Linked DNA regions of Diceros bicornis minor. The protein of the gene in region 2 interacts with the protein of the main gene of each other region in a biochemical or structural test. Links are inferred from orthologs where the notes say so. Each region holds a gene or a part of one and is shown on either strand. Other genes may lie near its edges.

Evidence for each region.
Region 1: of the proteins of LRRK2 (region 2) and RPS15, one has a biochemical effect on the other in vitro, tested with the Homo sapiens proteins (2 studies listed by IntAct). The link is inferred for Diceros bicornis minor from reciprocal best matches to the Homo sapiens genes LRRK2 and RPS15.
Region 3: the proteins of LRRK2 (region 2) and YWHAB interact on a protein array, tested with the Homo sapiens proteins (2 studies listed by BioGRID and IntAct, with this or other methods). The link is inferred for Diceros bicornis minor from reciprocal best matches to the Homo sapiens genes LRRK2 and YWHAB.
Region 4: of the proteins of LRRK2 (region 2) and SYNJ1, one has a biochemical effect on the other in vitro, tested with the Homo sapiens proteins (2 studies listed by BioGRID). The link is inferred for Diceros bicornis minor from reciprocal best matches to the Homo sapiens genes LRRK2 and SYNJ1.

What each region holds. Positions count from the first base shown.
Region 1 is NW_026691553.1:897,069-903,607, reverse strand, and holds RPS15 (small ribosomal subunit protein uS19), read right to left. Parts: upstream 2,258-6,539; 5' UTR 2,204-2,257; coding exon 2,201-2,203; intron 1,812-2,200; coding exon 1,726-1,811; intron 998-1,725; coding exon 763-997; intron 661-762; coding exon 547-660; 3' UTR 516-546; downstream 1-515.
Region 2 is NC_080756.1:28,440,841-28,448,279, forward strand, and holds the start of LRRK2 (leucine-rich repeat serine/threonine-protein kinase 2), read right to left. Parts: upstream 3,018-7,439; 5' UTR 2,601-3,017; coding exon 2,447-2,600; intron 2,181-2,446; coding exon 2,095-2,180; intron 1-2,094. UniProt on the Homo sapiens protein: Serine/threonine-protein kinase which phosphorylates a broad range of proteins involved in multiple processes such as neuronal plasticity, innate immunity, autophagy, and vesicle trafficking.
Region 3 is NC_080758.1:16,288,551-16,295,948, forward strand, and holds the start of YWHAB (14-3-3 protein beta/alpha), read right to left. Parts: upstream 3,007-7,398; 5' UTR 2,869-3,006; intron 1-2,868. UniProt on the Homo sapiens protein: Adapter protein implicated in the regulation of a large spectrum of both general and specialized signaling pathways. Binds to a large number of partners, usually by recognition of a phosphoserine or phosphothreonine motif.
Region 4 is NC_080766.1:33,285,377-33,293,101, forward strand, and holds the start of SYNJ1 (synaptojanin-1), read right to left. Parts: upstream 3,018-7,725; coding exon 2,920-3,017; intron 2,849-2,919; exon of another isoform or gene 2,807-2,848; intron 1,927-2,806; coding exon 1,781-1,926; intron 1-1,780. UniProt on the Homo sapiens protein: Phosphatase that acts on various phosphoinositides, including phosphatidylinositol 4-phosphate, phosphatidylinositol (4,5)-bisphosphate and phosphatidylinositol (3,4,5)-trisphosphate. Has a role in clathrin-mediated endocytosis.

The DNA.
Region 1 (6,539 bases), on a different chromosome or scaffold from region 2:
AGGCCCACCCCAAGGCTGGGGACCTGAGTCACTGCGGAAGGCTCCCGGAAGCTCATCAGGGGCACAGCGTCCAGGGAGAGGGACAGACAAGCAGCACGGTGCAGGTGAAGAGCATCCTGAGGGACCCTGGGCAGGTGTGCGAGGTCGGAGGGAGCTGGGAGGAGGCTCAGATCACGCACAAGTTCCCACTGTTCGAGCTTCGACTGGACACCACCCACCCCTGACTGGGGGCCGTGGGAGGAGGGGCCCCAGCAGGGGATGGGGGCTGAGGGGCGACGCGGCACTCACAGCAGGAGAGGCTGCCGGGCACCCAGGACACACCAGGTGCTGCACCTGGGGGCCTGGGACCAAATGCAGCAGCTGTTCGTGTTAAGACGGCAAAGAGAGCGGAACAACAGATGGGCTGGGGCACAAGACCCTGGACATCCCCGGACGCGTCACGGGGCCCGAGTCACTCAGCTCCCAACCCCCCACCCGGACGCCGGACGCCGGGAAGGACGGGGCAGACTCGGGACTCCGGAGTCTGTGCCTTTATTGGCGCGCAGCCTACTTGAGGGGGATGAAGCGGGAGGAGTGGGTGGCCCCGATCCCGGGCCGGCCGTGCTTGACGGGCTTGTAGGTGATGGAGAACTCGCCCAGGTAGTGGCCGATCATCTCCGGCTGCGGAGGCGAAGAGCAGCCCGCGTCAGGCGTTAGGCGACCGCGGCGCACGGGCCCCACCCGCCCCCCGGGCCCGGCGCAGCCCCGCTCGCCCCGACGCACCTTGATCTCCACCTGGTTGAAGGTCTTGCCGTTGTAGACGCCCACCATGCTGCCCACCATCTCGGGCAGGATGATCATGTCGCGCAGGTGCGTCTTCACCACCTCGGGCTTCTCCATCGGCGGCGCCTCCTTCTTGGCTTTGCGCAGGCGCTTGAGCAGCGAGTGCTGCTTCCTCCGCAGTCCGCGGTTCAGCCGCCGCCGCTGCCGGGCGCTGTACAGCTGCATCAGCTGCTCGCTGCGGGGGGGCACGGCGGCCTGAGCCCTGGCCGGACACCCCCGCGCCCGGTGACGCCCCCCAACCCGCCCTCACGGCCGGGCCAGGGCCCGTGCCAGATACTCGGGACGAGCCCCGCAAAGGCAAGAACCCCCACATCGGTGTGTGCAGAAGAGGAAACCGAGGCAGGGGAAAGGTGGCCGAGCTGCTGGACCCCGGCGCACAGGCCTCAAGAACCCAGGAGCAGAGACCCCCAGAAGCCCCCAGCCCACGAGGAGCCTGTTCTGTGAGACCCCCCGCGCCCAGACCCAGGCACACCTGCCGGGGACAGGTGCTCCCTGCTTGTCGATAGCCTCCCTCCCCATCTGGGGGCCGGACCCCGCACCCGCTCTGCACCCGAGGGCAGGTTTTTAAAAAGCAAAAGTCAGACCACCCCAGCCCTGCCCAGAAGGTTCCTGCCCAAGCTCAGGCCAGGGGGTTGGCCGATTCCCGCGTACGTGCCAAACCCCAGGATTTTACAGGGTTTCCCGCGAGCGGGAGAGCGCTCTTAGGTTTCCTAGCGCCTGGAAACACGTCCAAAGACACGTGCTGAGCGTTACACTGAAACCTCAGCGTGTCCTAATAAAGTTTTATTGGCACGCCGGCCCGCCCATCGTTGACACTCGGTCTAAGCCGCGCGCACAGCTCGGGCTGCAGCCCCCACCCCCGGGGCCCTCCCGCCGGCCCCCCGCCCGGCCCGCGCCCCTTACTAGGACATGTCCAGCAGCTGGTCGAGATCCACACCGCGGTAGGTGAACTTGCGGAAGGTCCGCTTCTTCTTCTGCTCCACTTCCGCCTGCGCGGGCCCGGAGCGGTCAGCGGGAGCCGAGACCTACCTCCCAGCCCCACGGCCGCGGCGCGGTCACCGGGGCGCCCACCCAAACGCGCGCGGCGCCGCCGGGTACGGGAGCCCGCGGGGACACACCACCTCCACCCCGTCCCTGGGCGGCACGCGCGGTTCCGGGCTACGGGAGCTCGGCTGGGACATGCCGGTCCGCACAGGCCTTCCCCGCTCCGGGTCGTCCCGACATCCACCACACCCGCCCCGCGCCCCATATCTGGCGGCCCCGGAGGCCTGGAGGAGGCTGCCGCAGCCGTGCGGCCTGACCCCGGCCTCTACTGCGCGGCTGCACCGCGGATGGCGAAGGATGCATCCGGCACAAACACCCAACCCGCAGCACTCACCATCTTGTCGGTTCTTCAGAGAGGACCACCCCCAGTGCGCCTGCGCAGTTATCGCGAGGGCGCCCACGTGCCCCGCCCATCAGCCGTGTGCGTGCACGCGCTTCCGCTTTCCGGCGGAGGACGGGCGCCCTCTTCTGTCCGGAGGGCAAAGCGCAGGCTGCGAAGACTAAAGGAGCCACTGTCTCTTGGGGCCTCGGACCTCAGGGCTGGGGCCGGCCGCCTAGTCTTTGGGAGACCCTTCCTCAACTGGGGGACATAGCACCTCGCTTCCCCTTTCGGAGCCTCATATTCGTGCTCTATAATCCGCATAATGGAACCCACCTAGCAAGATTTACGAAGCACCTACTGTTGGCAGTAGGCGCGGTCAGGGGGTTCGGGTCCCCATATTGCTCTCGAGAGGGAGCTCTCGCGTCCAGTAGGGGAGGCAGACACATAAGAGACAAGGTCATACAGATATCACAGCCGAGAGGGAAGCCAGGAGGGGTGGGACACTGGCTTCACACAGATGGTCAGAACAGGCATCCCTGATAAGGACCAGCCAGCCCTTAACGGACAAAACTATATAAAAGAACAACTGTTAACAATGGCTAGGGATCAGGGGCTACAGCTATATGGGAGTGCTGTTTCTGTATTCACTGGGACTAAGTGTCCATCTGAAGGGGATTCTGGTACATTAAGAGGTATGTGCTAGCCTATGGCCCAGCAATCCCCCTTCCGGGTGTACAGCCCAAAGAACTGAGAGCAGGGACTCGAACAGATTTCTACACCCGTGTTCATTACAGCATGATGCACAACAGCCAAAAGGTGGGAACACCCAAGTGTCCATCGATGGATAAAGAAAATAGTATGTACACACTGGAATATTACTCAGCCATGAAAAGGAGGGAGATTCTGACACCTGCTCCAACGTGGATGGACCTGGAGGACATGACACTCAGTGACATGAGCCTGACGTGGAAGGACGGATACTGTGTGATCCCCTCACAGGAGGCCCCTAGAGGAGTCACAGCCACAGAGACAGAAAGTGGATGGTGGGCCAGGGGCTGGGGGAGGGGACGGGGAGTCAGTGTTTCATGGGGACAGAGTCTCAGTTTGGGAGGATGAGAAAGTTCTGGAGACGGATGGTGGGGGTGGTTGCACGACAGTGTGAGTGTGCTTAATACACTGAATTATACGTTTAAAAATGGTTAAAAATAAATCTGATGTATATTTTGCCACAATAAAAAACCAAACAGATGTATATGGTAAACTATGGAGCACTAAGAAAATCACTCAAAACATATAGTGAAAACAATTATTAAAGGAATTAAAATGCTACACTAGGAAATACTCATTTAATGAAAAAGAAAGCATTAACAGAGTCACACGAGCACAAAAAAGACATGTGCCACATAGAAAACAAAGCGAAATGGCAGAGGTAAAGCCGGGCCCGGCGGTCACAACATTAAATGCCAATGGTTTGAGGAGGCCACCAGCCCTGGAAGCGGGAGCAGGCGTGCAAAGGCCCTGAGGTCAGAATGAGCTGGGTGCTGCTGAACCAGGGAAAAGGCCAGTGCCCCCCTCTGACTCCACTGTGCCTGTTTCCCTGCGGGGCAGGCAGCAACTGAGCCTCCAGCCCCATCCCAGCCTTCAGGGCAGCTAACTGGGTGGGGTTTGGCTCAGCCCAGCAGCTTTGTGGGGAGCTGGGGCTGGCCTGGAGGGAACGGGAAGCCTGGAAGGATGCTGAGCCCTCCTTGGCCAGTTACACAATCCCGGGGGAGAGCCAATTAAACTGCACCCAAAGGAGGGGCCATCCCTCCCCGTCACCCACATGTTTGGGGCTGTTGGAGGTGTCCTTCGGGGTGTGAGGGTGTGGCGCTGGCTTGCCCACGTTCTTGGGAGCAAACGGTCAGACTGGCAGGGAGCTCGTAGCGGCTGGAAATGCCTTCAAGGTTTGCACAGCGCCCAAGGCCGGGAGAGGGCCACTCCCACTCCTCCATACGCCGCGGCGCAGCTCGGGAGGGAGCTCGAAAGGCTCGTCGACAGGGGAACGAGGGACCTCCTCCGGGTGCGAGGGGTGTGTGGCGGGGTGCCGTCTCCAAGGGGCCTTTGGGGTATGGTGGGGAGGGCGCCCCTTTTCTTGACTATCTCTGAGCTGAGCTGACCTGCCCGACATGGGGCGTGAGCTGGGCTGCGTTTCGGGGGGGGGGTGGCTGTTTTGTCCCTCCCTTGATCCCAAGCTGGGACACTGGAGGCAGCCATGTTTTGGATGAATTGGCTCTTTGTGTTATGTTTTAAAACCTCGACTGTGGTCCTTACAACAGAATGACGGCCCCCAAAGACGTCCCCGTCCTGGTCCCGGGACCTGTGGACGTGTCACCTCACGTGGCAGAGGAACTTTGCGGATGGATTAACTTGAGGCCCCTGAGATGGGGGATGACCCTGGATCCCCGGGGGCCCAGGGTCATCACAGGGTCCTCATCAGAGGGAGGAGGAGGGTCAGAGGCTGTGCGCTGGCTGCGGGCTGTGCAGACGGAGGAAGGGGCCCTGAGCCCAGGACGCGGCCTCTAGAAGCTGGAAAAGACAGGAGACGGTTCTCCCTGGAGCCTCCGGGAGGACAGCCCTGCCCACACCTGGACTTTAGCCTGGGGAGGCTTGTGTCGGACTCCTGACCTCCAGAGCCGTGAGACGACGTGTGTGTTATTTTAAGCCATCAAGTTTTGGTGATTTGTCACAGCAGCCACAGGAGACCCCTCCACACTAGAACAAGAGGGGATTCACCCCTTTTGTCACAGCTGTTTGCCAGGGCAGCCTCCTCGGGACACAGGAGCCCCTCCCCACCTCGAGGAGAGGCCAAGGAAGTCCTGCGTGTAAGTCGGCTGACTCCCCTCCCTTCTCAGGGCTGCAAACAGGGGCTCGCTGAAGGTCAAAGCCCCTTGCCTCTGGGGTTGGGGGGCAGTCAAGAAAATGGACAGAAACCACGTGGTACAACACCAAAATACTGGGGCTGGAAGGGCCCTGCAGACGGGCTTCACGGGCCAGGCCCACGCGTGACCAGCACTCATCCCAACCCACTGCCCCACCCCTAACTCATCTCCAGGAGCCACACTCGCCTGCACTCGAGCCCGGCCCTGCCTCTCAGGCTGTGAACATCAGCTGGGCCCACCCAGTGCCCCCCAGGTGTCCAGCACAGCCACCTTCAGCTCCAGGAGTGCCGGCTCTGGACTGGCTGTCCTGACGCCTGCATCACCCAGGTCAACAGCCCAGTTCCTGGAAATGTGAGTGGCCGGCCCAAGGCCACAGTCCAGGCATCACTCGCACAGGGATGGGGGAGGCCTGGCCAGTCCCCCCTGATCTGTCTAGATGCCTTTTTCTCAGTACCCAGCGGATGGCCACTGAACTCCAGAACACTGGATCTGCAGCTCACCCCACCCCCAGACCATCCTAAAACCCACACCTGCCAGAACCCCAAGACCCAGAGACCCGCCAAGACAGAGGCCCGGGCTCCCCACTCCAGCTCACCCATGAAGCAGGCCCCGAGCGGCTGCTGAGCCCACCGAGGAGCCCACGGCCAACAGAGGACCCCCGGAGAGGGCCCTGCCCAGGCAGGAGGGAAGACACGGACACCACGTGGGTTTCTAATCCAAACGCACTTCTCTTTATTCAAACCAGGGTCAAACTGGCCAGCGGGGATGCCCTGAAGCCACGCGCGCAGGAGATGGGCTGACAAGGCCTCCTCCGTGTCCTCGATGCCCGGGTGGGACGCGGGGCGGACAGCACACCTGCAGACACTGCCAGGCAAGTCAGTCGACAAAAGCAAGGAATAAACAAAAAACAAAACACACTCAGTAGATTCTTCTTGAAGCTCCCAGAGTCTCTGGACCCACGAGTCCCAACCCTCAAAGCCAGGAGTGGGGACTAAAAACAGCCCCCACTTCCACCAGTGCCGACGGAAACCCTGTTTTAAATTAAAAAATAAGCCAGTATACATCGTAGAAAATTTCTCTTAAAAATCTCACAATTTGTAAATGTATATTTTTTTCTTTAACATAAAAGTTTACAATATACGGTAAAACAAAAGGCTCAGGAAAATAATTTCAAAAAAAAGAAAAAGAAACCTGAAGTTTTGAATTAAAGCTGAAGACATTTTTTTTTAAACCCTGTTGTTGAACCAGTGACTTTTTTTTATTGTGCTGATGGGTTAGAGAAAGAAATATATTTAAAAACTTCAGTCCAGACACCCACAGCGCCTCCGAAAGCCTCTCGCCCCACCCCCCACCCCCCAGGTTGAGTCGCCATTTTTCCTCCAAGTGTGTGATTGTCACGAGTTCACGAGTTCCGAATCCTGGCTCTCAGCGGT
Region 2 (7,439 bases):
AATTCATCATTAAAAGCTTTTAATTGAGCACTTCCAGCTAATTCAACACATAAAGCATTAAAGAATATCTATACTAATTACATCAGTAATATGAAGAAATTTGAAGGATAAAAACCCACTTTCTTTTAAATGGAGTATTATAATATCAGTAGAAAGACCTCTTTCTTCATCCCTTTAATAAGACCACCGATAATTAAAATTGATAGTGCCATTATGCCTACCATGGCCACAATATTTGTACCAAATCATTGCACTTTTTACTTGCAATGAAAAGCTTGTGAATTCAGCAGCTAGGGAATTGTATGATGGAAAGAGATTTGGAAGACGTGAGAAGACTTGAGTCCTGGCTCTGTCCCTAGCTCTGTGATCCTAAATGAGCTACCTACTAAGGAAAAAATAGCCAGTGAGATATCTGAGAGGGCAGTGAGAGTCCAGTGAGAATCAAATGATGTAAGCTACATAATACTCTTTGCAGACTAATACACATATGGTGCTGAAACTATTCTATTCCATTCAATTACCAAATCAGAAGACAATTCCTCATTTTCTTGCATACTTTGTCTCTGGTAGTCACTGGGAAAAGATACTGAGTGACATTCATAACCACTCCAGACAAACATGCCCAGGCCTGGGCAGTTTCTAAAACGAAGAAGAATTAGGTAGTGGTTATGTTCCAGGCTCCTCTGCATTCTCAAGTCTAGCTCTGCCTCCTCTGGACTCTGCAGATCAAAGCCACCCAGGGTCCAAATGTTTTGAGTGGTATCAAGCAGGGGTGATTCTACCAAGCACAGAGTCCAGGGAATGGGGGCTGCCAGAGCAGGCACTTTTGAACACAAAAGCACAGGCAAGTAAGAAGGGATGATTTGGGTGGAGAGAAGCAAGCACAACGGGCCAGTGTGAAAAAGTGACTCATATTCCACGGGCAAAATTCAGACATTGGGTGCTAAAAAGAACACTGTCTTTATCAAGCCTTCATCTTCTCATGGTTTTGCATGTTAACACCCTAAAAATCAATAGTCAAATGGGAAATATTTCAGTTGAAGAAAAATAAAAGTAACCATTTATCCCAGATATAAATATACTCCCAGAAAAGAAGCTAGGTATATGGTTCACCCAAACTAGACATTGCTGGCTACAGAGATAAGCATAAAGACAAAGATAGATAGATACAGATTTAGAGATCCAGATAATTTTTACATCTGTCTAGACACTCAAGCATATATTAAGAAACATTGACTTTCTGACTGCACTTTGACAGAGTTTAAAGTTCAACTCTCTTTCCCTTCAGGACTTAACATGCAAATGACAGAACTGATTTCAGTTCTTTAAATCTCAAAATCTACAAAGGAAGTGAACACGATAGGCACTAATCTTGTTTTGACTGTAAATCATCCTTAATTATCATCTTAGGGCTCCCTTTTTAACATATCTAAGAATTTAGCAAATTTCTGGGTTTCCTATGAGGCAGATTCTAAATGTTTCACTTTTACATTCATTTTATATGAAAACAGTTGAAAAGTATAAATTTAAACTTATAGAAGAATCATAAAACATCACTTTCTTTAGATAATACAAGGTATACTACAACTAAAGAAGGCTAGAAATCTGTCTTCAAATTAAAAAAAAAAAAAAAGAAAACCCTGAAACCTATGCGAGTTTGCCAGTTACTTAATTTTATTTTTATTAATTTTATTATTGTTAACTGTTCTCCTTTCCCAAACTATTCACAATGCTGTCATCTCTAGGGCATGCTGTATATTGGGAAGAGTCTTAGATAATTTGATCTAAACACTGATGAACTCATAGCCAATAACGGAAAACTCAACCCATTATTATTCCTCTCACCACCATCCATATTTTGTCAGTTAATTGTATAAAGTTACTTCTTTAAGACAATTAGGGAGCACATAGTGGGCCCTTTCACACCGTTAACATTTGATAATGATTTGACAACGCTTCCGTCTTAAAATCAGTCAGCGGTTTGTCAAGCCAAATCTCAGAAACAATCCAGAACTCTGGGCATATAACACTGACAGAAAAACATCTATTTCCAAAGTGATCGGGGAATGGGCGAAATGAAAACAGCTCCTTTACCTGCTGCACGCTAGCGACTCTCATATACGAGTCCAAGACGATCAACAGAGGCACGTGGACATTTTTGCCTTGAAATATCTTGGAGGCTGGAAAAGAAAGTGGGTGAGGGAAAAGAAGCAAAGTCACGACTCACGGCCCTCCTTTTAAGTCGGAAAAGGGGGGGGGGGAGAAAGCAAAAGAAGTGAGCGCAAGACCTTTCTAGAATTCTCAGCTCCCTTCTACCCTAAGAAGTATAGAGTTGGTGGCTTCTCAAAAGTCCAGGCTTTGTGCAGCTCCAGAGTGCGGGGGAGAAAGTTTGCAACAGAGGCGGGGGGGAGGGGGATAAAGGAACAGTTTCCTTGGAAATGATTACCGTGGTCGGCGTACGTCAACACCAGCATATCCTCCAGAATTTGGACCAGCGTCTCTATCTGTTTTCCCTCTTGGACATTGTTCAGCCTGACTATCAACTTCTTCAGAGCTTCCTCGTCCTCCTCCACGCACCCCTGACAGCTGCCACTGGCCATGATGGACCCTGCTCCAAACCTGCCGCCCCTCCCGCACCAAGGCCGGCCGCTCCGGGAAGGGGCAGGGGCGCCGGCCGCTGCTCCGGGCCGAGCACAGCTCACCGCCCGCGGCCAGCGCTGCCCGCCAGCCCCCTCGGCACCCACGCCCGCCTGTTTATGAGGAAGGCGGCGGCTCCGCGCCCTGCGCTGCCCTCCCCGTCCCCGGGCCCTCCTCCTCGGCTTCCTCCTCCCCCGCTCAGGCCCCCAAAACGAGCTCAGTGGCCTGCGAGAGGCTCGGCCGAGGTACGGCGCCGTGCAGAACCGCGGTGGGCGGTCCGCACGCGGCGAGAGCGGGTCCCTGCGCGGGCCGAGACGGGACCCCAGGCGGGCGCCGCCTCCCGGGACCGGATCCCACTCGCCGCGGCGGCGCGGCCGGGAGTCGCGCAGGAAGAAACTGACTCCGCGGGCTCCGCCGCGGCCCCAGGCCCCGAGCCCTGCAGCGGCGGGAGGAGGCGCGCAGTCTGCAGCCCGGCCCGCCGCCCGCCGCCACCCGCCGGCCTGGGCACCTTCAGCCGCGCGGAAGGTCTGGGACCTAGGAAGAAGAAAAATTAAAGCCGCCGCCTATCTCCAGGTCTAAGAATGGAAATCAGGGCGTTGGGAAGAGAGGACGCCGCCCACTTGGCCCCTTTTAGGAAAACATTCTCTTTCGAGTTCCCCCTATAGGGAGATGAGTAATTTCCCCCTCAAGGATGGAGAGAGATATTAGCAATCAAAATGTGCTCAGCTAAATGTTTTTCCATGATTGCTGTGGCTCTTTGTAGAGGAGGAAATAAAAAATTGTTCCCTGTTATCTGAAGCTCTGTTGACCAAATTAACTTGAAAATCTGAGTTTGCACTCGGTAGGATCCTGATAATGGGGGCGCACCAAAAAACAATCAGTTCGTTCTTGGCGCTATTAAAACTAAGAGAAACACAACGTAAATGAAATGAAAAGGTGAAAGATACAAGCCTAAGCATTGTTCTCTTGGTATTCAGAATTACTTATGAGTCGCAGCGTCTATAACCCTCAAGTTAAAAAATAAGTACCAAAGTAATGTTTTTTAGGAAGAGAAACCAAAGCAAGCAACACTGTAGACAAGGCTGGACAAAGACGATCTATTGCCTAAGATGATCTGTCCTGGGGATCATTTACAAAGGAGATGACTGGACAGGAAATTAGTAGTTCACAATTTTAGATCGTTTGTTTTCACTTCTATTATTTCATTCTGATGACAATTCTGAAATGGATAAGACAACTACCAATATCCTTCTTTTACTAATGAGGAAATTGAGATTTGGAGTTAAGCGAAGAGCATTGTTGGAGTCACACAGATGGAAGGTTGAGAGCCAGAACTCAAACCCCGGTGAATCTCTTAACTCCAGTTGAAGGTTCTTTACACTCTACCACTTTAATCAAAATGAGCTAGGCTTCCTTAATACATTAAGTCAGTAAGATAGCAATTCTAATTCGACCTAGATATTGTGAATATATTTTGTTGTCATAAAGACTTTTTATCTTTTACAGACACATGCTAAAATATTTACAGTTGAAATGATAGAATGGGTAGGATTTGCTTCAAAGTAATTCAGTGTTGGGGAAAGGGGTGAAATGGGTGGAGGTAGAGACAAAACAATGCTAACTTTTGAATTGATAATTGTTGAAGATGGGTGATGGGTTCATGTGGTCTATGGTACTAGTTCCTCTGCATAAAATTTTCCATAATGAAAACAAAACAAAAGAAAAAATTCTCAACCCTGTCATCTTTATCATAGCTGCGGAATATCCTTCCTAACTGGTTTCTGAACTTGTTTCAACTTCTGACTAACCAATCGATATCTCAAACATTCCTAGGAATGTTCCCTTTCATGCCTTCCTTCCCATTCCTCTGCATCAGTTTCTCCTTCTCTGTCTACTGGATTATTATCTTGCAAAAAATCAAAACCTAGCTCCCGTCCAAAGAAAACTAAATCTAAGTAAAAAGGTATCTCCTCTTTTCCTCAGTTCTTTCACCCATCCACTGCCTATTCACTGTCTACTCTATATTAGCCAGACTGGGGGTAGGCGGTGTGGAAACATGAATTCTCTGTTGGGAGCATTCTCTCAAACTACTGCAGTAGTAGGGCAAAGTATCCTCTTAGCTTTCAAAAATGTTTAATTGATTGATTAAAATCCCAAGACTTATTAACTCTTCAGATAGTTAACAAGACAGAAAAGGAAGGCTACGGGCACAAATTCATGATAGAGGTAGTGTTCAGTGGAGAATAAAATAGTGCTGGAACATTAGGCTAACTTCCTGGGAAGAAAAAAATAAAATGGACATTGCTAATTACAGCAAACACCAAAACAAATTCCAGATGGATTAAAAAGTTAAATGAAAATAACTTAAAAAGAAAATATAGATTGATAGTTATTTAATGTTGGTATGAAGAAACATAAAAAGTAAGAAAAAAACAACAGAAGATTGGTACATGTGACTCCATAAAAATTTAAATTTCCTGCAAAGAAAAAACATGAAAGTAAAAAGTAAATGGCAAAGTAAAAGTAAAAGAAAGTAAAAGAAAATTGCAATATATATGACAAAAAAACAATTAGCCTTAATCTTTCAAAAGTTCTTACAGATCACAGTGGGGTGTGGGGGAAACAACACCTACACACTCCATAGATACCCCAGGAGAAAAAAGGACTAAAGTTTTGAACAGGAAATTCACTGTGAATGTACAAGTATAAAAAAAGTATGTTCATAATTATACAAAATTGTGTTCCTAAACATCAGTAACATGCAGTTATAAAATGTAATTGTATGTGTGTGTGTCTGCACACAGTAACAACAATGAGGAAGAAAGAGAAAACTTGGGACCAGATCTAACAAAATATTTTTAAAACCTTTGTGAAGAAATTATTAAACTGTATTAAAAGGCATTAACAAGGCATAAATAAATGGATAGATGATATCAATTAACAAGAAGATTAAATATCAAAAAGATGCCAGTTCTCCACAAAGTAATAAAAAAACAATGCATGTCTAATGAAAATCTCAGCAAGATTTTTTTATAGCTTTCAACAAGAGCGAAGGACCTAGAACAACCGAGACACTTTTGAAGAAGGAGGAAGTGGGAAAATTGCCCAATTAGATCTTAATTCAGGGCCTGTACTAGCCTTTGTCGATTTCCCAGAGGAGGAAAAATTGTCTGACAATGTCTTTCTGTGAATTAGAAAAATGTGCCCCTCCTTCCAGGCAGACACAGCCCTGTGCTATGGTGTCCAAAGCAGGATTTGGATTTCAGACTCCACCCATCCCTTCAGCCTGATGTCCTTATGCCAGGCATAACTTGTCCAACATATGAAGCAGTGTGTTGAATCTTACTATGAAGCTATAAAAATTTATCTGCATATTATTGGCACAGCTATACAAAATGACCAGTGAAAGAGTACAGAGAACCCAGAAACATACCCTTACATATATGGAAAATATATATGAGAAATGTTGCATTGTGTATCAGTGGGAAGAGAATGGACTATGTAATAAATGAATCTGAGACCAATGATTGTAGGAAAAACATCAAATCATACCTTTACCTCACACCATATAAAAAAATAAATTCCATGTGAATTGAATATTTTTATATAAAATGAAACTAAAATTTTGGGGGGAAAAATGACCTTTTTATGACCTTCATGTAGGGAAAGACAAAACATAAATATCACAGTCCATGAAGGAAAAGATTGTTAAATTCAGATAAGTTAAAATTTAAAACTCAACATACAAGAGACTCCATCAACAAAGTTAAAAGATGACCGCAGGCTGGAATATTTTTGCAACGTATATAACCCACAAAAGAAGAATAAGAATATGTAAAAAGAACTATCACAAATTATAGAGGAAAATATAGTCTAATTTTTTTTTTTCTGAAGAAGATTGGCCCTGAGTTAACATCCGTTGCCAGTCTTCCTCTTTTTTCGCTTGAGGAAGATTAGCCCTGAGCTAACATCTGTGCCAGTCTTCCTCTATTTGGTATGTGGGTCACCACCACAGTATGGCTAATGAGTGGAGTACGTCCACGCCCGGGATCCGAACCCATGACCCCAGGCCACCAAAGCGAAGCACGTGGAATTGTAACCACTTGGCCACAGGGCTGGCCTCTAAATAGTCTAATTTTATATATAAACAAAAGATATAAAAGGCAATTTACAGAAGAGGAAATGCCATTAAATCTATCAAAAGATGCTCAACTCCGCTAGTAACCAGGGAAATACAAATTAAAGCCATAATGCTATACCATTTCACAGCCCTCAGATTAACCAAAAATTTAAAGTTTGATGATACCAATGATTGGCTTTGATGTGGAGCAACTAGAATACTTATACAAAACTGGTGGGAGTGTAAATCAGAATAGTCACTTTGTAGAGCAGTATGGCAATATCTAGTAGAGCTGAAGATATATGTATCTGATGACCCAGCACTTACACTCCAAAAACATTCCTTGGAGAAACTCTCACATGTGCATAGGGAAATTTATATAAAAATGCTCGGTGCAACATTTTTTGCTTATATTGAAAATGAAAACCACTTGAATATTCATCAACACTTAAATTGCATATATCCATATAATAGACTTGTATAAATCTGTGAAAATTAATGAACTAGAGCTCCATGTATCAACATGACTGAATAGCAAAAAATATAATACTTGGCTTTTAAAAAGTTGTAGTAGGATATATATCCTACTGTGATATCAATATTCTAATGCTATCAAGCATGCAATGTTGCATATACTTTAGGGATATATATATATTTAGTAAAAGTATAAAAATTGTGTGTG
Region 3 (7,398 bases), on a different chromosome or scaffold from region 2:
CACAAGCTTGCTTCCTGATGCAAACCAGCAGTATCATCTCTACAGGCCACAATGAATATACTCCCCCACAATAAATTACATTATATCTATTTTCAAAAATCGCTAAAATTCCTATTCAAACATATTTACTTTAATAAGACACATGCAAAGAAAAATGAAGGACTAAACGGTGTTCACATGAAAGATATACATGTGTTGTTCCACCACCAGCAGAAATCATCAGTGCCAGACTGCGTACGTTTCACTCCTGGCTCCAGCACTTACCTTGTGCTGCGTCTGTGTATGCCCCTAGGATAATTAACTTCTCTGTGCCTCAATTTCCGCATCTGTAAAATGGGGCTAACAGTATTACCTATCATTGGGTGTTTTGCAGGTTTAGTTAATATGTGCAAAGTGCTTAGAACAAAGCTTAGCACACAGTAGGCAATGTAAGTGGTAGCTATTATTATAGACTAATTGCTTGATGCTACCTCATCAGTTGGTGAATAAACCACAAATGGATGGACTTTCTCTGTGTCTATGCTATACAGCGTATATACACAGGTCTAATCTATATATGTGTATATTCGTGAATATGGTCAAATAATATTTATTAAACACCTACTACATCCCAAATTCTTATTTTAATTATTGACTTTGTCACAATAACACATCAGACTATTACCATTTGCATTGTACAGATGAGATACTGGGCTCAGACAGACTGGAGATACTACACACAAAATAAAATTCTATTATTTCATTTTTTGAAAGCAACATGTATACAAAGTAAGGGTGGGTCTCATCAGAATGCAACTAGAGAATAAAAGAAAGCCATTAATAGTGAACTCTGATCAAAAAACAAAACCAAAAGCTTATATTTAACAATCTACAGTTTGTGAAAAGGCCTCATGACAACTGTGGAGAGAGAAACCAAGAACCAGAGATTAAGCAGCATGCTGAAGATCACAGAGCTACAAATGCTGCAGGTCTTTCAACCTGAACCAAATCTATCTGACTCCAGGCCCAGTGCTCTTTCTGCTTCTATATCCACAGCCACATGGGCAAAATGCACTTTGTGCAGTGGCCCAAATCTCTGGAGACTCTGCCTAGCATCCTGGGAATTTCCTCAGCCTGGTTTTATGGAGGCTGCCTCCCTGACCTAAAGAGCTCCAATTCTAAAATGGCTTCAACGTAACACAAGCACTGCATGATGGGAAACGTACAGAAGATTACAGGGTAGGAGCCATACTCCAGGGGCTGACAGGCCATAAATATTTGCTGCTTATGAATGAGGATATTCAATCTGAAAACCAGGTGTGTGGTCGAGGCCAAATCACCTCATTTCTCATAAAGACTTCATCTGTAATGTGGGTGAATGGTTTCTTATCTCTTTGACAGGAGAGGCTAAGAAAAGAACTCAGCAGTTGCTACTGGATTATCAGGCTTCCATTTTGAAAACCACACGAAAATTCCTAACTTGGGTCCAGTGACAGTGACAAGTTTTACCCTCACCATGCTGTGTGCTCTTAAAGACACAGATCCAAGAAATGTGAGGGCTCAGACAACTGAGATTCAGTTCTAAATACAAAATGGGGTGCACTGGGAGCGGTCAAGAAGAAAATCACTAAGAACCAATTAATATTTATACATATAAATTTCTAACAGGAAAATGCAAAAAGCTGAGTCGCCACGTGTCCAGTTCTATAAATTGTATGTGTGTGGTTTCATATGAACAATTGACATGGAGTGAGAAATGCAGACAATTTTCCTATTCTTACAAGTGCTTCATCTTTCTGTTTTGGCTCCTGTGGCCGCCTGATTTTACATATTCATAACATCATCCTGCCAAATTCTGTCTCCCACACAGGGCAAGTAAAATCAGAGCCTGATGCTATCTAGCCTTACCAAAGAGAAAAGCAGTGAAGGCGAGGACAAGAGACACGCATTTTTACAGAAAGGCTGGCAAACTGTCTTACCAATACTGCCACCTTCGAAAACCCCGTTACGTGCGAGTTCTCCATTTGCAATAGACAAAAGTGTACTCATCTTCTGAAGAAAAAGGGCCCAAATCACTCCCACCCCTTCCCCATCACCAGGGAAGCCATTAGGCAAATTTCAGTTCTAAAAATGTACTAACACACAGCATGGGGGAATTTTGGGCGAGAACACAAAAGGCTCTGGCTTTAAATGACGGTAAATACCGTGGGAAAATACTCCGATTCTCAGTCTCTGACATTTTTTTCCTGGGGATCCGGCCTGACTCAGTAACCGGTTCCAAGAAATGCATATTCTTGATTCAAACCTCAACCCTGTGCTTCTCAGGGAATCTCGGGTCCTGCCAGGCTCCAAAATCAGCGAACGATGATGAAATGGCTTTACTGCAAAGTGGGAGGGGTTTTCCCAAGGTTAAACCCCTTACCCACCTACGGGGGGTCAAGCACAGGCGCTGGGGCTCGAGAACTCGCCCCCATTCGCTTAGATTTTAATTTTTGGAAACCGGAAAACCAGGAGGAGCGGTCACAGGGCTGAAAGGGTGGGCTCTCGCCGTTCAAGGCGCAGGGAGGGGTCGCGCGGGGATCGAAGCGGGGTCGTAAGAGCGGGTCCGGGGCCCGATGTCCCTTCCGGCCCGGTGGCGAGCCGCACCCGCCCGCCCGGCAGGGCGCAGGCGGCGAGGGCGGCCCGGGCCTCTCCAAGCGCGAAGGGCCCGGCCCCGGAAACAGGGAGGGGCCGCGGCGAGGCCGGGCCCGCGGCAGGCGGCCGCGCGGGGCGGAGGAGGCCGCGCGCCGCCACTCCGGGGCCCTGCCGCGGGGTCGCACTCGCCGCCGCCGCGGCGGCCGTGGGGGAGTTCGGGGCTTGGGCCCCCGGGGGTCCCCGCGCCGCACTCACCGTGGGAGGCCTGCAGGGGGCGAAGACGCGGACGAGAGGAGCTCCGAGCGCGGCGACCGCTTCCTTCCCAGGCCCACTCCTCAGGCGGCGGCGGCGGCGGCGGCGGCTGCAGGGGCGGCGGCGGCAGCTCCCCCGGCTCCGGAATCGGCGGCGGCGGTGGCGGCAGCTCCACTTCCGCTCCGGTCACCACTTCCGCTCCGGCCCCGGCCCCGCCCCGCCCCTGCGCCGCCTCCTCATTGGGCGAGCAGGGCACGGGGTTGCCCCGTCCGCCCGAGAGGGGCGCTGGCGGAGGGAGGAGGAAGAAGAGCGCCGCGCCGGGATGCGGCGGGGGGCGGGTCCCGGCGGGGAGGCGGCGGGCGGAGGGGGACGGAAGTGGGGGCGGGGAGCGGAAAGCGGAGGTGGGAGGAGCGGGGGCGGAGCTGGGGGTGTGGAGAAATGGAGCGTGTGGGGAACAAGGAGGGCTGGGCGAGGCTGGGCGCTGGGCGGGCCCGAGGCCGGGTGGTGCGCTCTCTGGCTCGGCTCGGAGCTCGCCAGGGCCAGGCCCGGAGCCTCCGAGGTCATCGGTTCCCACCGCACCCGAGATTACGAGAGTAATCGTCACCGGCTCGGAGGTTGAAGTCAGTCCCCTCGTGCTGTGTGCTGTGGGAATACTGGACCCAGGGAAGGACAGAAATTGCTCATCCCTAAATTTTCGCTTAATCCTCCTTTCAATCCCTCCTCCTTTTGTGGGCCGAAGAGGTTACGTGAAGTGCCGGGAATGGAACCCGCGAAGATGTTTTTTTGAAGCCTGTGTCTGTGCTCTCGTTTAGATACCTCCCTTCCCAAGGCCCCTAGGGGAAGTTTCAGAGAAGGAAACCCCTCTACCGCCCCCCACTCCCATGACTGCTCTCACCGTGATCGACATTCTGCTCCTCCCCAGGCCGTGGACTCTTAAACCCAGTGCTTCAAAACGCCTCTCACCTCCAGTCGCTCTTTTTCATTCATTCTTTCAACAAATGTTTATTGAGCAGGCGTTGTCCTTAGTGCTGGAGACAGAGCAAGAAGGAGACAGACGGGACCCTGCTGTCTTGGCGTTTACAGTCTGGTAGCAGAAAGAACAAAGTAAATAGGCCCTTGTCGTCTCTGCTTTACCCTTACTTAGCTTAATGATAGACTTCTAACTCATCACCCTACCCTCAGCCCTGCCCCCATCAACTGCCAAAGTGATCTTTTGAAAATGCCATTCTAATGGTGTCCCTTTCTTGCATAAATCGTCTGGTGACCTAGAAGACAATTGATAAGCTCCTTGAGTGTGACAATCAAGGCTCCAGAAGCTGCCCTCACTCTTCACCTTCCCTTGCTATTTCTCCTCCTTCATAAAACCCCAATTCAGTCGGATAATTCCTTATTCTCCCAATATGCCATGTCCAGTATTCTCTACTGTCTGTGTCAGTTGCCAACATTTTTTAAAGACTGAGAGATTTCTGTGTGAGCAAAAATCTGCATCTCTGCCTTATCTGGCAACACTGTGTCCATATTTCTGTGTGGCAATAATTGGCTGACGCCAGAGTGGCTGCCCACTCTAGATCAGGCCCGGACTTTTCAAAGCGCCAGGGTCTCCTCCTGACTTGAGTCTGCTTTCCTCATTCATGTTGTCTGTCATATGGGCGTTTGTGCCAGTGACCTCCATACTACACCACCTTTTAACTTGAGCAGGATTGAAAGAGAGTGTTGTGTAATATAAACGACGTAGATTTGACATGAAGACCACAGGATTTGAACCCTGGAAAAGTTTCCCAGTGCAAAAACTTCCCCATGGGGATCTATCTTTCGCAAACCAAAGATCAATAATCCAGAGACTGCTCAGGTTGACAGAAGGCTTAATGTGATATGACTGTGCCTTATGCTCCTATCCAGAAAATACCCTGGTGGGTCAGAGGGCTCGTGATAATTACACCACAAATGACCTCATCAGTGCATTGAGAGAACAGAAGTGCCCTCTGCCAGGCATCCCTGAGTGCCTGCTAATGGATTAGCTGCTTTCACCATCTCTGCGTTCTAGGCCAGGGGTTGGCAAACCACAGCTATTAACTGACAGAGACACAAAGAGATATTAAAATACAATGTGGCAGGGCCAGCCCGGTGGTGTAGTGGTTAAGTTCGTGCGCTCTGCTTTGGCGGCCCAGGTGGCCCAGGGTTCGTGGGTTTGGATCCTGGGCACAGATGTACACACCGCTCATCAAGCCGTGCTGTGACGGTGTCCCACATGCAAAATAGAGGAAGATTGGCACAGATGTTAGCTCAGCGCAATCTTCTTCAAGCAAAAAAGGAAGATTGGCAACAGATGTTAGCTCAGGGCCAATCTTCCTCACCAAAAAAAACAAAACAAAAGAATGTGGCAACCATAGGAATATATGTGCCCATAGGAATATATGTGCCTGGGAGAAGGGCACGTGGCCCATCTTGGGAGTGTGGTGAGAGAGCAGGAAAGACTTCCTGAAAGAGGGATACTTAGCCTTAGATTCCATAGTGAATTTTTTTAAATTAATAGACTTTATTTTTTTAGAGCAGCTTTAGATTTACAAAAAAATTAACCAGATAGTACAGAGAGTTCCCACATACCCAATCTCTCCCCACCCACAGTTTCACCTGTTAACATCTTACATTAGTGTAGTACATGAGTTACAACTGATGAACCAATATTGATAGCTTATTATTAACTAAAGTCCATAGTTTACATTAGGGTTCATTCTTTCTGGTGTACAGTTCTATGGATTTGGACAAATGCGTAACGTCAGGTATCTACCATTACAGTATCGTATAGAACAGTTTCAGTGTCCTAAAAACCCCTGTGCTTCAGCTGTTCAGCCCTCACCTCCTCCCCTCACCCCAACCCTCAGCAATCACTTCTCTTTTATACTCTTTAGTTTTGCCATTTCCAGATGTCATATAGTTGGAATCATACAGTCTGAAGCCTTTACTGATGGGATTCTTTCACTAAGCAATATGATTTAAGGTTCCTCCATGTCTTTTTATGGCTTGATAGCTCATTTCTTTTTATCACTGAATAATATTCCATTGTATGAATGTACCACAGTTTGTCCATTACCTACTGTTATGGATTGACTCGTGTCCTCCAAAAAGATATGCTGAAGTCCTAACCACCTGGTACCTGTGAATGTAACCGTATTTGGAAAAGAGTCTTTGCAGATGTAATCAAGTTAAGATGAGGTCATTAGGATGGGCCTTAATCTAATATGACTGATGTCCATGTGACAAGAGGAAAAAGCCAGGGGGAGACACACAGGGAGAACGCCACGTGATGGCAGAGTCGGGGATTGGAGTGATACAGCTACAAGCCAAGGAATGCCAGAGGTCCATAGCCACCACCAGAAACTAGGAAGAGGCAAGAAAAATTCTACGTGGAGTCTCAGAGGGAGCACGGCCCTGCTGACACCTCGATTCCAGACTGCTAGCCTCCAGAACTGTGAGAGAATAAATTTGGTTGTTTTAAGCCATCTCCAGTTGTGGTACTTTGTTACAGCAGCCCCAGAAATCTGATACACCTCCTGAGGAACATCTTGATTCAGCTTTTGACAATTGTGAATAAAGCTGCTATAAACATCCATGTGCAGGTTTTTGTATGGACATAAATTTTCAACTCATTTGGGTAAATACCTAGGAGCATGATTACTAGATTGTATATTGAGACTGTGTTTAGCTTTGTAAGAAATTGCCAAATAGTCTTCCAAAGTGGCTGTTCCATTTTGCGTTTCCACCAGCAATGAAAGAGAGTTCCTGATGCTCCATATTCATGCCTGCATTTGGTATTGTCAAGTTTTGTTTTTATTTTTATTATTTTTGATTTCAGCCATTCTTACACAGATGTGTAATGTAAGAACCTGATTTGTATCTCCAAAAGTTTCTTTTTGTTTCAAATATTCTGAAATTTCACGATTAATGGCCTTGAGACACCCAGTGGGTTTCCTTTGTCTCTTTCCTTCCTTACTCCCCTCCTCCAACCTCTCTTCCCTGTTCCTCCCTCCCTCTTTCCTTCCTCCTTTCCTTCCTTCCTCCTTTCCTTTCCTCCCTTCCTTCCTTCCTTGCTTCCTTCTTCTTTCTTTCTTTTCTTCCTCCCTCTCTACTTTCTTCCTCTCTTTCTTTCGCTTTTTATTATGACAATTTTTAAACAAATACAAAAGTAGAGAGAATAGTACAGTAAATTCCATGCACCCATCACCCGCTTTATTTTACTATTCTATCTATCCCTCACACTTTTTTTAACAGCACTATTTTACAGCAAATCCCAGACATTATGTCATTGCATTCATAAAGACCTTAGTATGTAGCTCTAACAGTAAGAACTTAAAAAACAAAACTGCAATTCCATGATCATACTTAAGGAAATTAACAATAATTCCTTACTATCTTATAATACACAGCCCAGGTTTGGTTTTCTCTGATTGTCTCAAAAATGACTTTTCACATTGGTTTATTTGAATCAGGATCCAAACAAGGTCCATACATTGCATTTAGTTGCTAAGTCTCTTA
Region 4 (7,725 bases), on a different chromosome or scaffold from region 2:
AAAGGGGATCAACACTGGACAAACAGGGTGGGGCCAAATTATTGAAGGCCTTGATTGACAGGTTGAGGAGTTTGAACTTATTATTATTTTTTTTTCCCCCCAAAGCCCCAGTAGATAGTTGTAGGTCATAGCTGCACATCCTTCTAGTTGCTGTATGTGGGACGTGGCCTCAGCATAGCCAGAGAAGTGGTGCCTCGGTGGGCGCCCGGGGTCCGAACCCAGCCCTCCAGTAGCGGAGCGTGCACACTTAACCGCTAAGCCAAGGGGCCGGCCCCAAAAACGTGAAAGTTTTAAAAATGAACACTCTATAGCACAATACACACCTTGGTGTCACTCCAAACTGAATGTCAAATTAATTTGACAAGTCAAATAACTTATAATAAGGTCGGTTAACTCTTAAATATTAGTATTTTAAATGTTACTGTAAAGTTTATAGTAGGAAAGCTAATAACACACCTAAGAGATTACGTATCCATTTACCCTAGCTTTACAGAGAAAGGCAATATTCAAACTTTTTTTCTCCTGAAAGAATTACTTACATAGTCTAAATTTAACAAAAATAAATCGAATTAATAAATAGTTAAGACAACTTTTTAATATTCTTTTTCCTCAAAATGAATGTTAATACCAAAATGGATGGTTTTAGGAAGTTGTTTTCTTTAACCATTATTTGGCAAAAAAGGGGGCTGCTAGAGGTTTGGAAATATGATTATCCTTAGGTTTCCTGACCTTGGAGTAAAGTATAGCAATAATCCTAATAACTATAGGTAATACATACTTTGTAGCTGAAAATTTGACTTTCCGTTATTACCAGCAATCACAATTTAAGAAACATTTAGAATTTAGACAAATTAGGAAATCAGGTAACGTCAAATTATGGTCTTTCACTTATTGAATCTGGAGAAAGTCTAATAGTATAAAATATTTAGGGACTTATATTTGTAAGTATGATTTTCAAACACTATTTTTAATTTATAAAAATATGACCAGTAACTCAACTGATCTGAACATAGCAAAAACATGACAAAGAACTAGTTATCACTAGAAAGCCTCTAAAAACACAATCATATTTCAAATAATTCCAAACTGGAGTTATCTGCCAAAATCTCATATCAAGAAAGAAATGTAATATTCAAATTAATCTTTTCATTTTTAATTTTATTCGTCTGCCCACAAAATAACCCAAACCTTACTAATCTAGTATTTTTCTTGTAGTGTAGTAGTCCTTTTCTTTAAAATAGACTATCAAAATAACTTTTTAAATAATATGAAATCAATCACATATCTCACATGTAATTTTAGAAGTTGCTTACAATTCCCTTAATGAAAATATAAGGCCGTCACCATAAGATACTCCAACAATATTAGATAAATAAATATTCTTATAGTCCATTTCTATAACTGACCTATAAGAAATTCTGTTCATTACAGTAAAGATATCAATTAAGCCACTTGACGGGTTTATGTGATGTGATATAAACTGCAACCATATTTCTTTGGAAAGATTTACTTTTAGAAGCAGCAGAAGAACCCAAGAAAGCAAAAACCTGTAACCAAAATCCGCATCTCCCCCAACCCCTGGGAAAAACCTGCCTCAGAGGAAAAAAAGAAAATGAAAGTTTAAAAGAAAATAAGGTTTGATTAAAAGAAAATAAAGGCATAATCTCCTAGATAAAATACAGTGAGGAGGTTGTCAGGGTCTTCTCTAAAAAATGGTTGAATCTGAATTATTTTGAATCAAAACAGGGACCATGATCAGTTGGGCTATAACATGACTTACAGAGCACAGCTACAGCCCCAGACTCGAACAGGAGACATTCTTCCTTATGCCTAGTTTCCACTATGAGACTGAAAGGTTGGGGGTCCAATTTGTGATAGATCCGAAATCCTTTGCTGAACGCCATTCTCCTTTCTTCAGAGGCAGCCCTGTGAAAACCAAGCAAAGCAGAGCAAATGAAGCTGATGTTTCCTTCTGCAGCAAGAACTGCAAAGCATCCAGAAGTCCCTCCCTGCCAGGTTTTGATGGGGGGGGGCGGGGTGGAAAAAACGGAGCTCCGGGAGAGAACGGTTTATTCCAAAATATAAGTCGTCACTGAATTTGATCAAAAAGCAAGAGGAAAAGCGACCGATTCTCCCGGCAGATCAAGGCTCTATCACTCTAAGTCCATGAACGGTTCGGTAAAGATGAGTTTCCCGTTTACTTTATGTTTACCAAAGAGAACAATTTTGAGCGTATTTCATTCGGAGTTATTTATCAGCTTCCTGCTTCGGGATCTGTCACTACGCTGAAAGGGAACCGATTCGGAAACTTCAAGCCGTTCCTTTGCGGGGAAAGGAGGGGTCGGCGGGTGGGAAGGTTAACGAGCCTGGTTCAAAGCTCCTTAGGGGGCGGGAGGAGGAAAGGGCTTAGCCACACGCCAGGTCTCCCGGGTGGCGAAGGGCCGGGGATCGGCACCGGTTACCGCCGCCCCCCGCCCAGCCTCGGGCCACCGCCGGCGGGGAGGACCGCAGGCGGGAGCCCGTATATATGAATGGTCACCCGGGAAGAGTCACGACTCGGGACATGGACCCGACCGGGGCTCCTCGGGGGTCCCGGGAAAGCAGCTCCTTCCCGGGGGGAAGGAAGCGCCGAGCAGCTCAGTCCCTCCATTATGCACCAGAAGAGAGGACCTGGCGCCCAAACCGACTGGGTTCCTTTCCCGCAGGAACGCTGACAGCCGCTGTCACCACAGCCCCCCGCCCGCTGCGGCGCCTCGCATGGCCGGTGGTCCCCTCGCAGCCCCGCCCGCCCTCGGTCGCCCCTCACCGCTCCCGCCTGGGCTGCGGCGGCGGAGACCGCCTCAGGAAGCGCCCGCCCGCGCGCCCGGCTGCCGGTGGGTCTGGCCGCGGCCGCTCCCCGCCCCCCGCCGGCTGGCTCACCTCTTCCGCCGGCTCCTCCTCCTCCTTCTCCCGCAGCCGCCACCGCCACAGCCGCCGGAAGCGTCACTTCCGGCCCAGCAGGCCCATCTCTTCCGCATTGCGCCGCGGCCGGGGGCGGAAGGGCCGCCGTCCGTGGGGGGAAGGGGCGGGGCTTCGGGAGGGAGGCCCCGCCCACTCTGGCCGCCTGGGACCCTGCGGCGGGGGGCTGTTTGGCGCCTCCGCGCGCGGTGACCTTCGCCTCGGGCGGCGCGTCCCCCAGGCCGCGGCTGCAGGTCCCACCGCTGGGGATGCCGGGAAAGGGAGGTTCTGCCTCCCTGGCCCCTTCGCGTGGGCTCTTCAGAGCTTACCAACACTCCCCGTGGGCGCCAGGGAGGGACTCTGGGGGCTGGGTATTGATACGTGCCCAAGATGGGTGTCTGGACCACCCCCTGCTGCCCCCACCGGCCTGATGGGCGAGGGGGAGGGCTCGGGACAGTCGGCACGCGGGGCCGACCCGGCGGCGCGTGGAGAGCTGTCCATGGTGTCTGACCGCGAACACGCCGAGAGGCAGCAGGAAGGAAAACCAGTGTCTGCTTTGGAAAAACTCTGTCCGCTGCCGTTTCTTCTGGAGTGTTCTGGAGCTTTCAGGAGTCCTGTAGAAAAGAGTGCTCAGCTCTGTGTACGGTGGAGAGTGGAAGAGCACAAACCAGAGTCTCAAGACTAAGTCAAAACATGGCGGTACTGACACCGGGGCAGCTAGGGTGTCACTGACTGGGGAATAGCTTATGCCAGCCGTGGGATTTCATAACTCAAGGCGCCTCGCCCTTTCATCTTATCCGCATTTTCAACGAATCATGCTTCCTGGCTAATATCAGTGTGTCCCACGGACTTCTCATTCTGTTTCCACTTAATAAACCTAACTATGGGAATGAAGTCAAAACTAACAAGGTCAAAAGGAATTGAAAAACGAAGAACCCAGTACTCGGAGAAACTGTTTTCACTTGCCTTTGCAATTTTTTTTCTTACCTCTTCCCCTTCTTGCTTTTATTTTAACAGCAAAAGCAGAATTTAAATTTGGTATACTGCACAAAATCATTTCCCCCTCCAGGCCCTGTCATGTGACTTAATTTAACATTTCTTCTTCCGTTTTAGAGAAGCTGGACCCACCCTGGTTTCAGGATACTAAAGTAGCTATCATTCATTAGAAAAGAAGCCACTTGTTTTGTAGAAGGAGATGTGCAAAGACACTTGGATTTAGTTCTGAGAGCTGGAGAGGATTTCTTTCTCGTTTAGTATTATCTCCCTAGAAAAACTGTTTTGCTTTTTGTGGTGGTTACTGACAGCAGCCTCAGAATTAAACTTATATTAAGATAATCAAATGGATGCTTATTTTTCTTTCCAGAAGAATCCATTTCAATTGGAGATTGTATTTGACAGAGAAAACTAAATGGGAGTGGATGAGAATGGAATTTTTCTTATTGGCTTCTTCGGATATAATGCCTCTATAGCCCTGAATGAATGCCAGACAGAGGTATACACTAGGAAGACATGGATAGTATGGTTCCAGGAGAGATGTTGATGTTATTAAGAACATTGCTTGGGAGTTGCGTTTTATGACAACTGAGACCCAGAAAAGTTAACTGGTTAAAAATTACTCAGTTTCGGGCCGGCCCTGTGGCGTAGCAGTTAAGTGCACCTCCTCCGCTGCTGGCGACCAGGGTTCGGATTCCGGGCACGCACCGATGCACCGCTTGTCAGGCCTTGTGTGCTGGCATCCCATATAAAGTGGAGGAAGATGGGCACGGATGTTAGCCCAGGGCTAGTCTTCCTCAGCAAAAAGAGGAGGATTGGCATGGATCTTAGCTCAGGGCTGATCTTACTCACACACACAAAAAATTAGTTTCAAGTCGAGTTGGGACTTTGAAACCAAACTTGCCCACCCCAAACCTAAGATCCCTTCCACCACATCTGTTTCTGTGTGAGACTACGCTAGGAACCCCTCCTTTCTCAGAGGGAAGTATGGGTGCTGGGCTCTTTTAGAAGCAAGTGTTCTGCCTATTCATGATTTCTTTTGATTTTGGACTGAGGAGATTGAGGTCAAAGTTTCTTGGTTCTGGGTTTGAATTGCTGCTTCTTTCTTTACGTTAAACTAGGGGGTAAACAGAACTCTTATTCCTAGAGTTGTCAGGAGAAGGCCACAGCTTTTTCAAATCCTTTCAAAATAGATCATTTTAGTCATAAAATAACCACATAAAATAAACATAAGGGCCATTTGACTACTGTCTTTTTAAAACTGTTATTCCTTCCTTTTCTTGTCCCTCTTTCCTTTTTATACTTCTTTGTTTCTTAGAGCAGTTGAAAATAGCTGCACAACTTTTTACCAAATTTGAAGTGTCTTTGGGTTGGCTGATTTAAAATACAGGTTAAGTGGTATACACAGACTTCTTAATGAGGTCCTAACGGCCTACAGAGATGGGCTGAGACTTTCTTGACCCTTGAAAATGAGCAATGAGGTCTGTAGAAGGCTGAAAAATACCACCCCCAAGATATCCACATCCTAATCCCTGGAACATGTGAATGTTAATTTACAGGGAAGACAAGTCTTTCCAGATGTGATTGAGTTAAAGATTTTGAGATTATTTTGGATTATCTGGGTAGGCCCTAAATGCAACCACAAGTGTCCTTATAAGGAGGCAGCAGAGGAAGATTAGACACACACACACACGCACACACACACAATGAGAAGACAGAGGTACAGACTGGAGCAATGTGGCCAATAGCCAAGGAGTGTCAGCAGCTACCGGAAGCTGGAAGAGGGCAGGAAGGATTCTTCCCTAGAGCTTTGGGAGAGAGCACGACCCTGCCAACACCTTGATTTTGAATTTCTGGCCTCCAGAACTGTGAGAGAATGAATTTCTGTTATTTTAAACTACCCAGTTTGTGGTAATTTGTTACAGCAGCCACAGACAACTAATACAAGGTGTATATGACTTTCCATCAGGAGAGAAACTGAGATCAGCAACAGCCCTAGGCAGATGTTTAGAAATCAGCTTCAACAGCTTCAACGAATTGAACGCAAACACCCTCATTTTTATTTATTTATTTATTTATTTATTTATTTATTTTTTAATTTTTATTTATTTATTTATTTTTCCCCCAAAGCCCCAGTAGATAGTTGTATGTCATAGCTGCACATCCTTCTAGTTGCTGTATGTGGGATGCGGCCTCAGCATGGCCAGAGAAGCGGTGCGTCGGTGAGCGCCCGGGATCCGAACCAGGACCACCAGCAGCGGAGCGCGTGCACTTAACCGCCAAGCCACAGGGCTGGCCCGACACCCTGATTTTTAGATGTTGATTTTTGACCAAATTATTTCTCCTGTGAGCAATTCTATCAGGTTGAAACATACAATTGCCATTTCTATAGGTCAAAAATACTCAGTGACTATGGATGGTCCAATCTAATAGTGTGTCTCCAGCAAACTACAGCTAGGATTTATTAATTTAGAAATGATTAATGGTTATCCGAAACAATCACATAAAAAAAACTATACCATATGTTACAAGACTATGAATTCTGACAGATGTTTACCATCTTTATCTTTTCCTTATAGCCTGGATTTCCTTGTCAAAAATGCTGGAAAATGTTTGGCAAATCTGGGGAATATTAACAGTTTGACCCAGTTATCTTTACCAGCTTATTTTTTGGGTCACACAGGCTAAAGCTGACTTTCATAACAGGATCTGCAAGGGATGGCTCCTTGTTAAAGAGACAACAGTGGTTTTGAGAGACAACACAACTCTGGGTTACAAATAGCATTAACTATTTGCTTTAAATACGTTCGTAGTAATCAGTGAAGGATAAGATTTTAAACCGGAAAAATGGAAAATCGGTGAGTAGAAAATGTAGTAAGCTTAAGAGCAGAATCACTTTGAGAATCAAATCAAACAAAAAAATTCAGACTGAAAAATCACTCAGACATGCAATAGGTAAGGAAATTGCCACTAGTCCCAAAAGAGAACTTGTATGTGACAAAAGTAGAGTTTTCATTTGGAACAAGAGAGCAACTCAAGAGAGTTCAAGTGAAGGGGGTTTAATGATACACAAGGATTCCATGGAAATCAAAGGACCAGAGCCATAACAGGGCCCAGCCTCACTGAGATCAGAGCTGCAGGATGTTCACTCTTCAATCTGGCTCTTGGTCCCTAAGCAGCAAGCATCTCTGGAATTTCAGCATCTAAGGTTAAATGTAAAAGATAAGCTTTCATGGTCAAAGTGTTCTTGTAAAGTAGCTTAAAATGGTTTCTACAGGATTTGTCAAACCGTTTATCGTTTACCATGTGTTTTGAATCATCAAGCATGGGCTATAAGGTACATTTTCCTAAAGATCTTTTTAAGTGGACCACAGTATGTATTCTGAAAAATGCTGTGCTAGGCATTCTTGTTGTACAGGATGATTCTAGCCTCTCAGCCTCTGCTGGAGTTAGGGCTGACAGGCTGGAGGAAAGCCAGTACAAATCACTGGGGCCTGGAGGTCCAGAAGCAGACCAGGGGCCAGTCAACATTGCACATCAATACCAATCCCATATAACAATTTTTAGCCTGTCTGCCTTTGCTGGGCAGTCTGAAGCCATTCTCAGCAGCTGTAAATCTAATAATCCATAGACAATTATTCCATAGAATAATTTCTGTGCTGGAGGGCAGTCTCCAAAACATTTTGGACAATGACAGCCTTATCGAAGTATAAAGCCTCCCAAACATTCAGATGTGCTTTACTGTTCTCACTACATGTAGAAGTTCTAGTGTTTAATTGTTCTCATTTTCATTTA